Linked DNA regions of Canis lupus familiaris. The protein of the gene in region 1 interacts with the protein of each later gene in a pairwise test. Links are inferred from orthologs where the notes say so. Each region holds a gene or a part of one and is shown in the gene's direction. Other genes may lie near its edges.

Region 1 (4,667 bases):
TCATGAGTTATTGATAATCAGTTACTAAACTCCTAGCAGAGCAGGTGGCTATGTGTGTGGTATGGTTTGAATGGTACTGGGAAGTCCTTTCTGGTTGCCTGGACTTTCTAAAATTCTACTATATCATATGCTTTCAGTTAGACATTGCCCTCTTCAGGGATCCTTTATGCTTTACAGAGAGCATCCCTTCCTCTCTGGCATGGTTTAGTTTATTAGGTACTAGGTACCAGGTATTTTCTTTACAGTGGCAGTCTGAGAACAGTCAACATGCAAGGGCTGGGATTTATGTTCTCCAGGGTACACGGGCAGTGGGGGGGCGGGGTTCTGAAAGATGGTGAAAAGGTAAGAAGAGGAGAAATTCTGCACAATTTTCAGGTCTGGCCTGTCATTCTGTTCTCCTGCGGTGTCAGAGCAGCTTCTTTACTTTCCCTGGGAGGAGTTTACAGAACCAAGCTCCTCTGATCCCCTGGGGCCTCCACCTTAGAAATGTGCCGGACAATAGGAAACAAGCCTGGCCCAGGGCGCCACCTGCTGTCTGTCTTCCCTCCTGCACCCTGGGCTGGGAGAGCGCTTCTGTCTTGGTACTAACCCATCCTTGCTCAATTACCAGCAGCCCTGAGCACCTTCTGCCCTTCTTGGTGGCACCAGGTCTCCCTTGGTCTGGGAGTCAGGTAAGGTATCAGGGTTTACGCCCTTGAAGTCTGACATCAGAGCCAATGGCTGTGGCAGATGGTGGGGCCTGAGGCTTATTCTGTGATTAAAAATCATTTCTTGCACCATGTCTGTGCTTTCCCAGTCTGGAGCAGTGGGAATATGACCACCATAATGACCCTGACCAGTGGGGAGAGAGGAAGGAGAGGAGACTAGTGATTCACTGTGCACCTTCCCTGTATGTTACCAGCTTGAGAGGACTCAGGATGCGTCGTCGTATCCTATTTTAGTCTCCGGAATTTGTCATCATCCAGCGCTATATTCCCCACCACGCAGAAGCGGCAGAGGGATTGGGGGCAGGCCTCTGTCTCCAAGGAGACTGTGACGATGTCCCGCTTGGGGCAGTTTGGAAGTGGACATCACTAGGAGGCTGAGGAAGGCCTTGGATTTGACCCCTGCAACACCTGTGTTAGGGCCTTCCTCTTACCTGCTTCAGGGCTTAGGAAGACTAGCCGCCAGCCCCTTTATAGGAGGGGAAACTGAGGCCCAGAAAGGGCAGGGAATCCCCTTGGGTCACAATGTGCCGCCGAGTAAGAGTCAGCTGAATCCAGGATCACGGTCCCGCGGATCTCCCCCCAAAGCTCAGGCAGCCCCTCCTAGCTCCATCCTTCTTTGAGCTTCCCAGCAAACCAGTCCCAGTGCGGGCGAGCCTTTGTAGCGCTCTCGGGGTCGCCGCTCCAAGACTTCGCCTTTAAGGCGCTCTTCCCCTTTAAGGTTCACGGCTCCAACCGTCACGCGGCGCCGCAGCCTTGAGGCCCCGCCCCTACAAACAGCTTCCCGCAGGGCAGCGTAGGCTGCGCGGCCGCCACGGCCCCTTTAAGCCCGAGCCCCGCCCCTGGCTCCCCGCCCCTCCCTCCCCTCCCCTCCCCCCTCAGCCCGCACCAGGTGCCCCGGCGGGTCGTGCGGCGCGGCGCGGCGCGCGACGGTGAGCGCCGGGTCCCGAGGGGGCGCGAGGACGCGTTCCGGGTCTTCCTCCGGCCCGGCCTGGTCCTCGCGGGGCCCGGGGGCGGAGCTGGAGCTGCGTCTGGGGCGGGGGAAATGGGTGGTCCGGAGCGCAGGAGGGGTGGGCCGCGACCCGCCGAATGGGGGAGGGGCTCAGGTGACTTGTGGTGGGGAAGGAATGGCTCCCCGCGGAGCTCGCCGGCGGCGGGCCTGGGGGCCGTGGGCTTGCGCGCTGGCGGCCTTACCACTCTTCTTCGCGCGCGCAGTGCCCCGGTACGGCCCGACTGTGGGATCCTGCTCCTCAGCCCCCTGGGGTCCAGGCCCCCGTGTGGGGGGCGGCTGCCGACCGGCCCGGCCGCCGGAGACCGCAGTCGTGGAGGCCGCCCGAGAGGCCCGGGCTGAAAGCCGAGGCCTTTGAGGGGGCGGCAGCAGGGCACCGGCCCCGTCTCGGATCCCTGGCTGAGGTGGGGGCCGTAGCAAAAGGCACAGCGGTGGAGGGTGGCGAGTGGCTCACAACCTGGGACCGACGTCTGCCCGCCTCCCCCGGCCTGATACGGGCTGAGTTGTGGGTTGGAGGAGGACCTGGCAGCGGGACCTCAGTTCCAAACCTTCTCTGCCCATCAGTGAGCTGGCGGTCACCATGGCAATGCGGGAGCTGGTGGAGGCCGAATGCGGGGGTGCCAACCCGCTGATGAAGCTGGCCGGGCATTTCACCCAGGACAAGGCCCTCCGGCAGGAGGGGTTGAGGCCTGGCCCTTGGCCCCCAGGAGCCCCGGCCTCTGAGGCGGTGAGTGTTCCCGAGGTGGAAAACTCAGGTCGTGGCTCCGGATGGAGGGGCCCCATGGACAGACAGTTTGGGATAACTGCCTTCTCTGCTGGGTCGCAAATAGGAGTAGCTATCACGACTAGTGAGTGTTCACTCAACACGGTGCTAAGCATTGTGCATCTTTATACAGATCAAGGCAGTCATTTTACAGGTGAAGAAGCGGGGGCTCAGGGAAGTTCTGTGACTTGCCCAAGGTCACTCTAGACGCTAGAGGCATTTTAACCTCTGCCGAGCGGGGTTGTGTGTGTGGACTTCATCACTGTACCCTATTGCCTCCCTTTCTTTTCTGTCTTAGGTCTCTAAGCCTTTGGGAGTAGCGTCTGAAGATGAGGTAAACGTGCCAGTCTGTTCAGTGCCCTTTTTCTTTTGCCCATCGTGTTTTTACTTTAAACCTGGCTCACCTATATTTCACCCTTTGGGCCTTCTTGACCAAGTGAGATTTGCCTTATTTCTTCTGCTTGTTTTTTTTTTTTTTTTTTTTTTTTTTTATGTATTATTTGAGTATTTCCAATTTGTAGTTTCTGGGTTTCTCTTTCCTTGTGTTTGACGTTATAGTCCCTCATTCACCGGGCCCTGTCTCTTGCTGAGTTCTTTTATCATCTTTCTTCTGGCAGTTGGTGGCCGAATTTCTCCAGGACCAGAATGCACCACTTGTATCCCGTGCCCCTCAGACCTTCAAGATGGATGACCTCCTGGCAGAGATGCAGGAGATTGAACAGTCAAACTTCCGCCAGGCACCCCAGAGAGGTGGGTCCAGAGTCTGGTGGGGGGGGATCACCATTTTCCATGCAAGTAAGACTGAGGGGGTTCCATATCTGGATGCTTCTGGCATTGAGGAACTGAGCTGCAGAAGGAGACAAAAGGGGCACAGTGTTTTCATGTGCACTCAGGATTCCTGAGGCATGATGCATAGAATGATATGCATTTCTTTTTTTTCTTTTTTCTTAGTTCTCTTTCTTTCTCTTAAGCTCCTGGTGTGGCTGACTTGGCCTTGTCTGAGAACTGGGCCCAGGAGTTTCTTGCTGCTGGAGATGCTGTGGATGTAACTCAGGATTATAATGAGACTGACTGGTCCCAAGAATTCATATCTGAAGTAACAGGTAAGGATGGTCATGGGTAAACCTAAAAGTGGTTCATAGTGGGGCAGAGTTCTGTTCTGTTCCCCCAGTTCATCTTAGGATATAGACTGACTTCAGCTTCTATGACTTTCCTGGACTCTTGATTCATTTCTCTAGGGCACTGAGCCTGATCTCCCTTAGGTGATAATAGGGAGTTATTGAAACTTACATGAAATGGGACTGAATTGGAACTCAGTAAGAGATTTTGGAGAGTATATGTATCTCTTTGTGTCTCTCTATGTAAAGAGAGAATAGGAGAGAGAACCCTTTGTTATCTGGAACTTTATTACTGTAGTTTGGTGGTGAAGACCCACAGATTGGATGGATGGCAGTATTGCCCAGGAAGAAATACTAAGCACAGCCCGTGGGATTCTGGCATTAAGTCATCTTAAACAGAGTTGAGGCCTTGGAAAGTGGAATTGTGTTCAAGGGCCTGACATATAAGGTTTTAGAGGGCAAAGACCATATCCTGATGACAGTAATAAATATAACAATAGCTAATATGTACTTATCATATTCTAGGCTTTGTATTAATTGGTTTCAATGTATTATCTGTTCGATCTTCATCAGAACTCTTGAGGTAGTTACTGTTTTTATTCCTAGCATATAAATAAGAAAAGAGGCTTTGAGATGAAGTGATTTGCCCAAGGTGATACAGTTTTGTAAGAGGTGGAGTTGGGACTTGACTCTGGCTTTGAATGATTCCAGACCCTGTGGGCTGAACCATGGTGCTCTTCTGCCAGGCCTGCACCCTAAGTTTTTCAGGGTCCCAGCCTAGTTCTCCATCTTTGAGAGTGTCCATGCTCGTTATATCCCTTGGGGTTGATTCTTCTGCCTCAAGCCTGTCTGATTAAAGGCATGGGGAAGGGCATTCTTTTTAGCTTTCCTCTTCCTCATTGTTTTCAAGGAGAAGCATTTGTTAGTTTTTTTTTCCAATTTAAGAAATTCAGAATGATAAGAGATACAAATGGAGAAAGTTACAAAGATTCTAGACTCTCAGGGCATTCCCATCTTCCTAGTTCTTAAACATCCCTGAGATCTTTTTTTTTTTTTTTTTCATTCCTGAGATC
Region 2 (4,828 bases), on another chromosome or scaffold:
GAGCTGAAAACTGTCAAGGTCCAACAGACTCAAGAAGAGCTTTTCTCCTCTCCCTTAACTGCCTAACAATAATTTAGACAGGGAGCTTGTACTGTTCCTTGAGTTGGCCTCCTCAGAGTGTGTTCAAATCTAAACTGATTTGCAATTTTTAAAAAGTGGAGATATTGCCCCAAATTTGGATTTCTGACTTGTCCTGCTCCCATTTCTGGCAACACCGGATCTTCATTTCCACCTGGTGGCCATTAGCTGGAGTTGATTAGATAGGGCCTGCTCTCCATGTCACCACACACCTCTGTGGTCTCTGCTACAAAGACCTGGAGTCCGTTGTTATTTCATCATTCTTTCTCTTAGGGTGAAATTAAAACTTTCTGACGCTGGGCTGTTTCACCCAAGCCCTGAAGACAATGGAGTTGTCAACCCTCTCCGCCTGTTTTCTCAGCTGCCAAAAGGGAAAAACAGCATTTAACTATAATTCTCAATACAGCCCTGCCTGGTAAAGCATGCACACAACAGCGAAGGATGCCTGGGGCATGGGAAGTGTTTGAAAAAACGGTTGTTAATCTCAGAAGCTCGAGAACCACGTAGAAAACAAACGAATGAATGAGCAAACTAACCAACAACTGACCGCGTTCATTGCTTTGTCAAGAGAACACTGATGGAGGAAATCATCCCAGAGGCGTTTTGTATCCATTTGTGAAGACGGTACTTTGTACGAGGGATACTGCAGGTGCTCAAAGAATGGGGCAAATTGCAGTTATTTCAGGAAAGCTATAATGGAGTGAATGAATGAAGGGGGAGTGGGTGGTCAAAAAGCGATGCCTTGGGAATGTTTTGCTCTTTCCACCAGGCACAGGACAAGTGCTCGGTGCCTGTTGATTGCCCTGAGACCGGGGCCCAGCTGCGCTCCCTCCTCCTCCTCCTCCAAGGCCTCCCTCCAGGGGACAGTCCGGCCTCCTCCCCACCCTCCTGCCCCGCCCCAGACCTGCCCCGCCCTTACAGGATGTCCTCGCGGATGCAGGTGCCATGGTTGAGGTTGTGGAAGCGGACGGAGACGCAGTCCCTGAGAATGAAGGAGCACCTGTTCTCCTTTTTGTAGGCGCTGAAGCACTCCTTGAAATCCTCGTAGGTCTTGAAGCAGCTGCCCAGCTCCATGGCCGCCCCCTCAGCCCACACCAGGGGCTGGCCCCCGGATCAACACTAGGGTTCAGAGGTCACACTGTGAGGGCCTACAGGCTGGCGCATGTCCAGGATGCCTTAAGGGTCGGCCTCAGCTGAGTGGCCTGTTACGGGGCTCAGGAGGAGCCCTAAGGGCCGAGAGGGCTTAGGGGTCTGGGGGCGTCTTTGCTTTCTCACAGAGGGGAAATGACGCTCAGCTCTTATTATTCAGCCCTGGGTTCCGCCCCCTCACAGTTACATCCAATCACACACGGTATTCCCAGACTGGCACTCATTTTCTCCAATCGCTAGAGAAAGCTAGCCCGCCTCTCGCGAAGACTGACAGGAGGGCCGACCAATCATAACTTGGACCCCTCTTTCTTGGGCGGGGGGGCCTTGAGGCGATTTCCTGTTACTGGAGCAAGCTGCCGGAAGAAGGTCGGCGTTCAGTGCGGGTGTCCTCGTGTCCGCTCAGCGCGGTGTTCTGGCTGGCCGCGCGTGAACCCCATGGCGTCCCGGCAGGCTCCCGAGGATGAGCAGGGCGGCGGCGATCCCTCCGGGGACCTCCGCAGCGTCCTGGTTACCAGCGTGCTCAACCTCGAGCCGCTAGACGTGGATCTGTTCAGGTAGCCGGCTGCATCTGGCTCGCACCCCTCCCCCCGCCACCCCCCACATTGGGACAGAGACTTCCGACCTCGATGCCGCCACCGCGTTGCCTCCTGCTCATAGCCCCCCGGACGGGGATGGGCTCTGTGCAGGATGCAGGCTCTGCCGCGCCTGGGAGAGAACTGGTCCCTGACAGACCTGGCTGGTCTCGCTGCCCTAGCTTCCTCCGGTGCGCGCCAGGTCTGCTCAGCCCCGCCACTAGGAGGCCCTAGCCATCCGGGCAGACGAAGTGGTGGCTTGAGCTAGCCTTCACAGCAGGCTCTCTGGAGGAGTCCTGTCCCTAGGGGCCAGCCCAGAAAGGGTGGTCACTTAAATGCACGCAGCTGATCCGGTTGAAAATTTAGAAGCAGCTTCTTGCATATTCACTGTTCTTTCCTTTTACGTACCTCGCACCTTCCACCACTTGGATCTAGTACCTCATTGCCCTGAGATCTGAGCCAGTTTCCTTCCAGATACCACTTAAATGCTTTTCTGCAGCTAGGGATTTAATAGTTTTGGCCGTCAGGGTTCCTACTGGCTTTTCAGAGGCAATCTTAAATGTTAGAGTTTCACTTCCCCCTACTTAATGAATTGCAAATGACTAGGAGGGGCTACTTGGAAGGCATTATATTTTTTTTTTAAATGCTAACCTAGGTTGGAGCTGAGCTGGCCTCAGTGGTAGGAAGCTGGAGTTCCAGGGCCTCATTTCCTCATCTGTGCGCGAGAGGGTTACCCTTAAAGCCTGAGGACCCTTTGAGTTCTAGGACCCTTTGTAGTTCTTGGAAGAACTGGGCTAAAGTTGAGAGGCCCAAGTGGCAGGCCTGAACGCAGTCTGCCCGCAGCTCTTGGGGATCATCTTGGTCCCCTTATGGCCTTGAGAGGCTTCTGCTTTATCCTGGAATCGGCAGTGAAAGAAACACTGGACTTGGGGGCAGAAGACGCAGACACTGCTCAGGACTGGCAATGTTTAAGTTGACTGACCTCACTCAAGTCACTTTCCCTCTCTGATCCCTGTTCTCTTTGGGTAAAAGAAGAGAGCTGGTTCCTTATCTTTAACTGAAGCCCACAGAAGGGTTGGGCAGTCTTGAAGGCACTAAAGTTACATGTATGCTGTATGCAGAGTAAGGGTATTTGCCTGGGAGAAGGGTCCATGGCTTTCACCAGATTTCAGAAGGATCCCAGACGTCAATAAGGTTGAGAGGTCTTGCCCTATAGGATGGTTGCAGGATTTGGCCCAAGTATTTCCTGCTTTCCCCTCTCTCCACAGAGGAAGACATTACTGGGTACCCACAACCCAGCGGCTGTTTGGGGGTCAGATTGTGGGCCAGGCCCTGGTGGCTGCAGCCAAGTCTGTGAGTGAAGACGTCCATGTGCACTCTCTGCACTGTTACTTTGTACGGACAGGTAAACTATCCCCTCTTTATACCCAAACCCAACCCTGAGGGCCCAGCAGCCACTTGTTCCTGGACTTGGGGGGCTGATGGGCTGGAAGAGGGAGGAAGGGCGGTGGGGGAGGGGAGAGTGAGACAGTTGATTCCCCTCAGGGGAACCTAGAGAGGAGCAAGGTCTGGGGCCCAGAGGAGTGTTGGACTTCACACGGATGAGATCACTGAGTGCTTGTTGAGGAAATGTTGGCGGCAGAGCAAATGATCAAGAAAGAATTCTTGAGATGTGTTTGGTGTAAAAAGATGATTTTGTTTGTTTTTATTTTTATTGTTTCTTAAAAAAGATTTTATTTATTCATTCATGAGACACACAGAGAGAGAGAGAGGCAGAGACATAGGCAGAGGGAGAAGCAGGCCCCTTGCGGGGAATCTGATGTGGGACTAGATCCCAGGACCCCGGGATCACAACCTGAGCCAAAGGCAGATGCTCAACCACTGAGCCACCCAGGTGTCCCTGTCTGTTTGTTTTTAAAGATTTATTTATTTTTAGAAAGAAAGAGTGGGGGGAGGAGAGCAGGAGGGAGAGGGAGAATCTCAAGCAGACTTCCTGCTGAGCATCCTGAGATCATGATCTGAGCCAAAATCAAGAGTCGGATGCTTAACTAACTGAGCCACCCAGGCTTCCCTAAGAAGGTGGTCTTACTAGAGCACGAGAACAGGACTTCTGGGCAGAAAAGGCTGTACTGGGATTGTGACAAATGACTATATACTTTCAAGTTGGATGGGGGTTAGGGACAGCACAAGTTTCCAAGGTATTTTAGAAGTCAGGTTTCCAGGACCTTGAGGGGGCTAGTTATTGTTAGGAAAAGGTCATTTATTCCTGTCTTAAAAAGCCTGAGTCATGAGACCCTTCAGATGTGTATTGGTGGGCCATATGCTTGGGTGATTGCCAACATGCAGCATGCCAATATGGTAGAGATAAAGGAAGTTTCCAAAGGAATTTCTACGTGTCTAAAGAAGACTTCCAGGATCCTACAGGGTCAGGGTAATGTTAAACTAAGATTGCCTCTTGCCCTTAGCAAAGTACTCACCTGGAGGCAGCTGAGTCTCTAGAGATCACTCTACCTGTTTCAAGGACTTGTCAATGGGTTTAAGTAGTAAGGAAATTAATTTTTTCTTTTGCTTTTGTTTTCCACATGACTTGTTATCTGGCATGGAATGACAGAAGATTCTGTTGCTTAACTACTCCCTGCAGGTTTTTTGTTCATTCTTCACACACCTTTTGGTGCCAAGCACTGTACTGGATCCTCCGAGAGATGCTGTCACCTGTGCTAGGAGTTCAGCAGTAGGCAGCTTGGCTTGGAGAAGAGAGCACCAGTGTGCAAATCAAGAAACCTTGGGTCTGGTTTCAGCTTTGCCACTAACTCACCAAGCCATCTTGAGTAGTTACCACCCCCACCTCCATCCCCCATCTCTTCCAGGCTTGGTTCATCCCACCTGAAGAATGGAGAAGGAGAGGAGCCTAGCCCCAGATCCATACAGCTGCTTGTAGCTCTGGAATCAAATAAAGGAACGAGAGAGCAATCCTTTAAAACCCATGCTTTCTTTTGAGAAATATAAAAATCTCACTTTCCCTCCCTTCT

What was found. The genes of interacting proteins can lie anywhere in the genome.
Region 2: the proteins of PEX5 (region 1) and ACOT8 interact in binary tests that used the Homo sapiens proteins (3 or more experiments, as listed by UniProt). The link is inferred for Canis lupus familiaris from reciprocal best matches to the Homo sapiens genes PEX5 and ACOT8.

The regions. Positions count from the first base shown.
Region 1 is NC_049248.1:8,232,313-8,236,979, forward strand, and holds the start of PEX5 (peroxisomal biogenesis factor 5), read left to right. Parts: upstream 1-1,568; 5' UTR 1,569-1,636; intron 1,637-1,903; exon of another isoform or gene 1,904-1,926; intron 1,927-1,973; exon of another isoform or gene 1,974-2,117; intron 2,118-2,277; 5' UTR 2,278-2,293; coding exon 2,294-2,440; intron 2,441-2,774; coding exon 2,775-2,810; intron 2,811-3,093; coding exon 3,094-3,226; intron 3,227-3,447; coding exon 3,448-3,579; intron 3,580-4,667.
Region 2 is NC_049245.1:33,782,862-33,787,689, reverse strand, and holds the start of ACOT8 (acyl-coenzyme A thioesterase 8), read left to right. Parts: upstream 1-1,555; 5' UTR 1,556-1,662; coding exon 1,663-1,781; intron 1,782-3,067; coding exon 3,068-3,204; intron 3,205-4,828. Other genes in the region: ZSWIM3 (zinc finger SWIM domain-containing protein 3), read right to left, coding at 998-1,152. UniProt on the Homo sapiens protein: Catalyzes the hydrolysis of acyl-CoAs into free fatty acids and coenzyme A (CoASH), regulating their respective intracellular levels. Displays no strong substrate specificity with respect to the carboxylic acid moiety of Acyl-CoAs.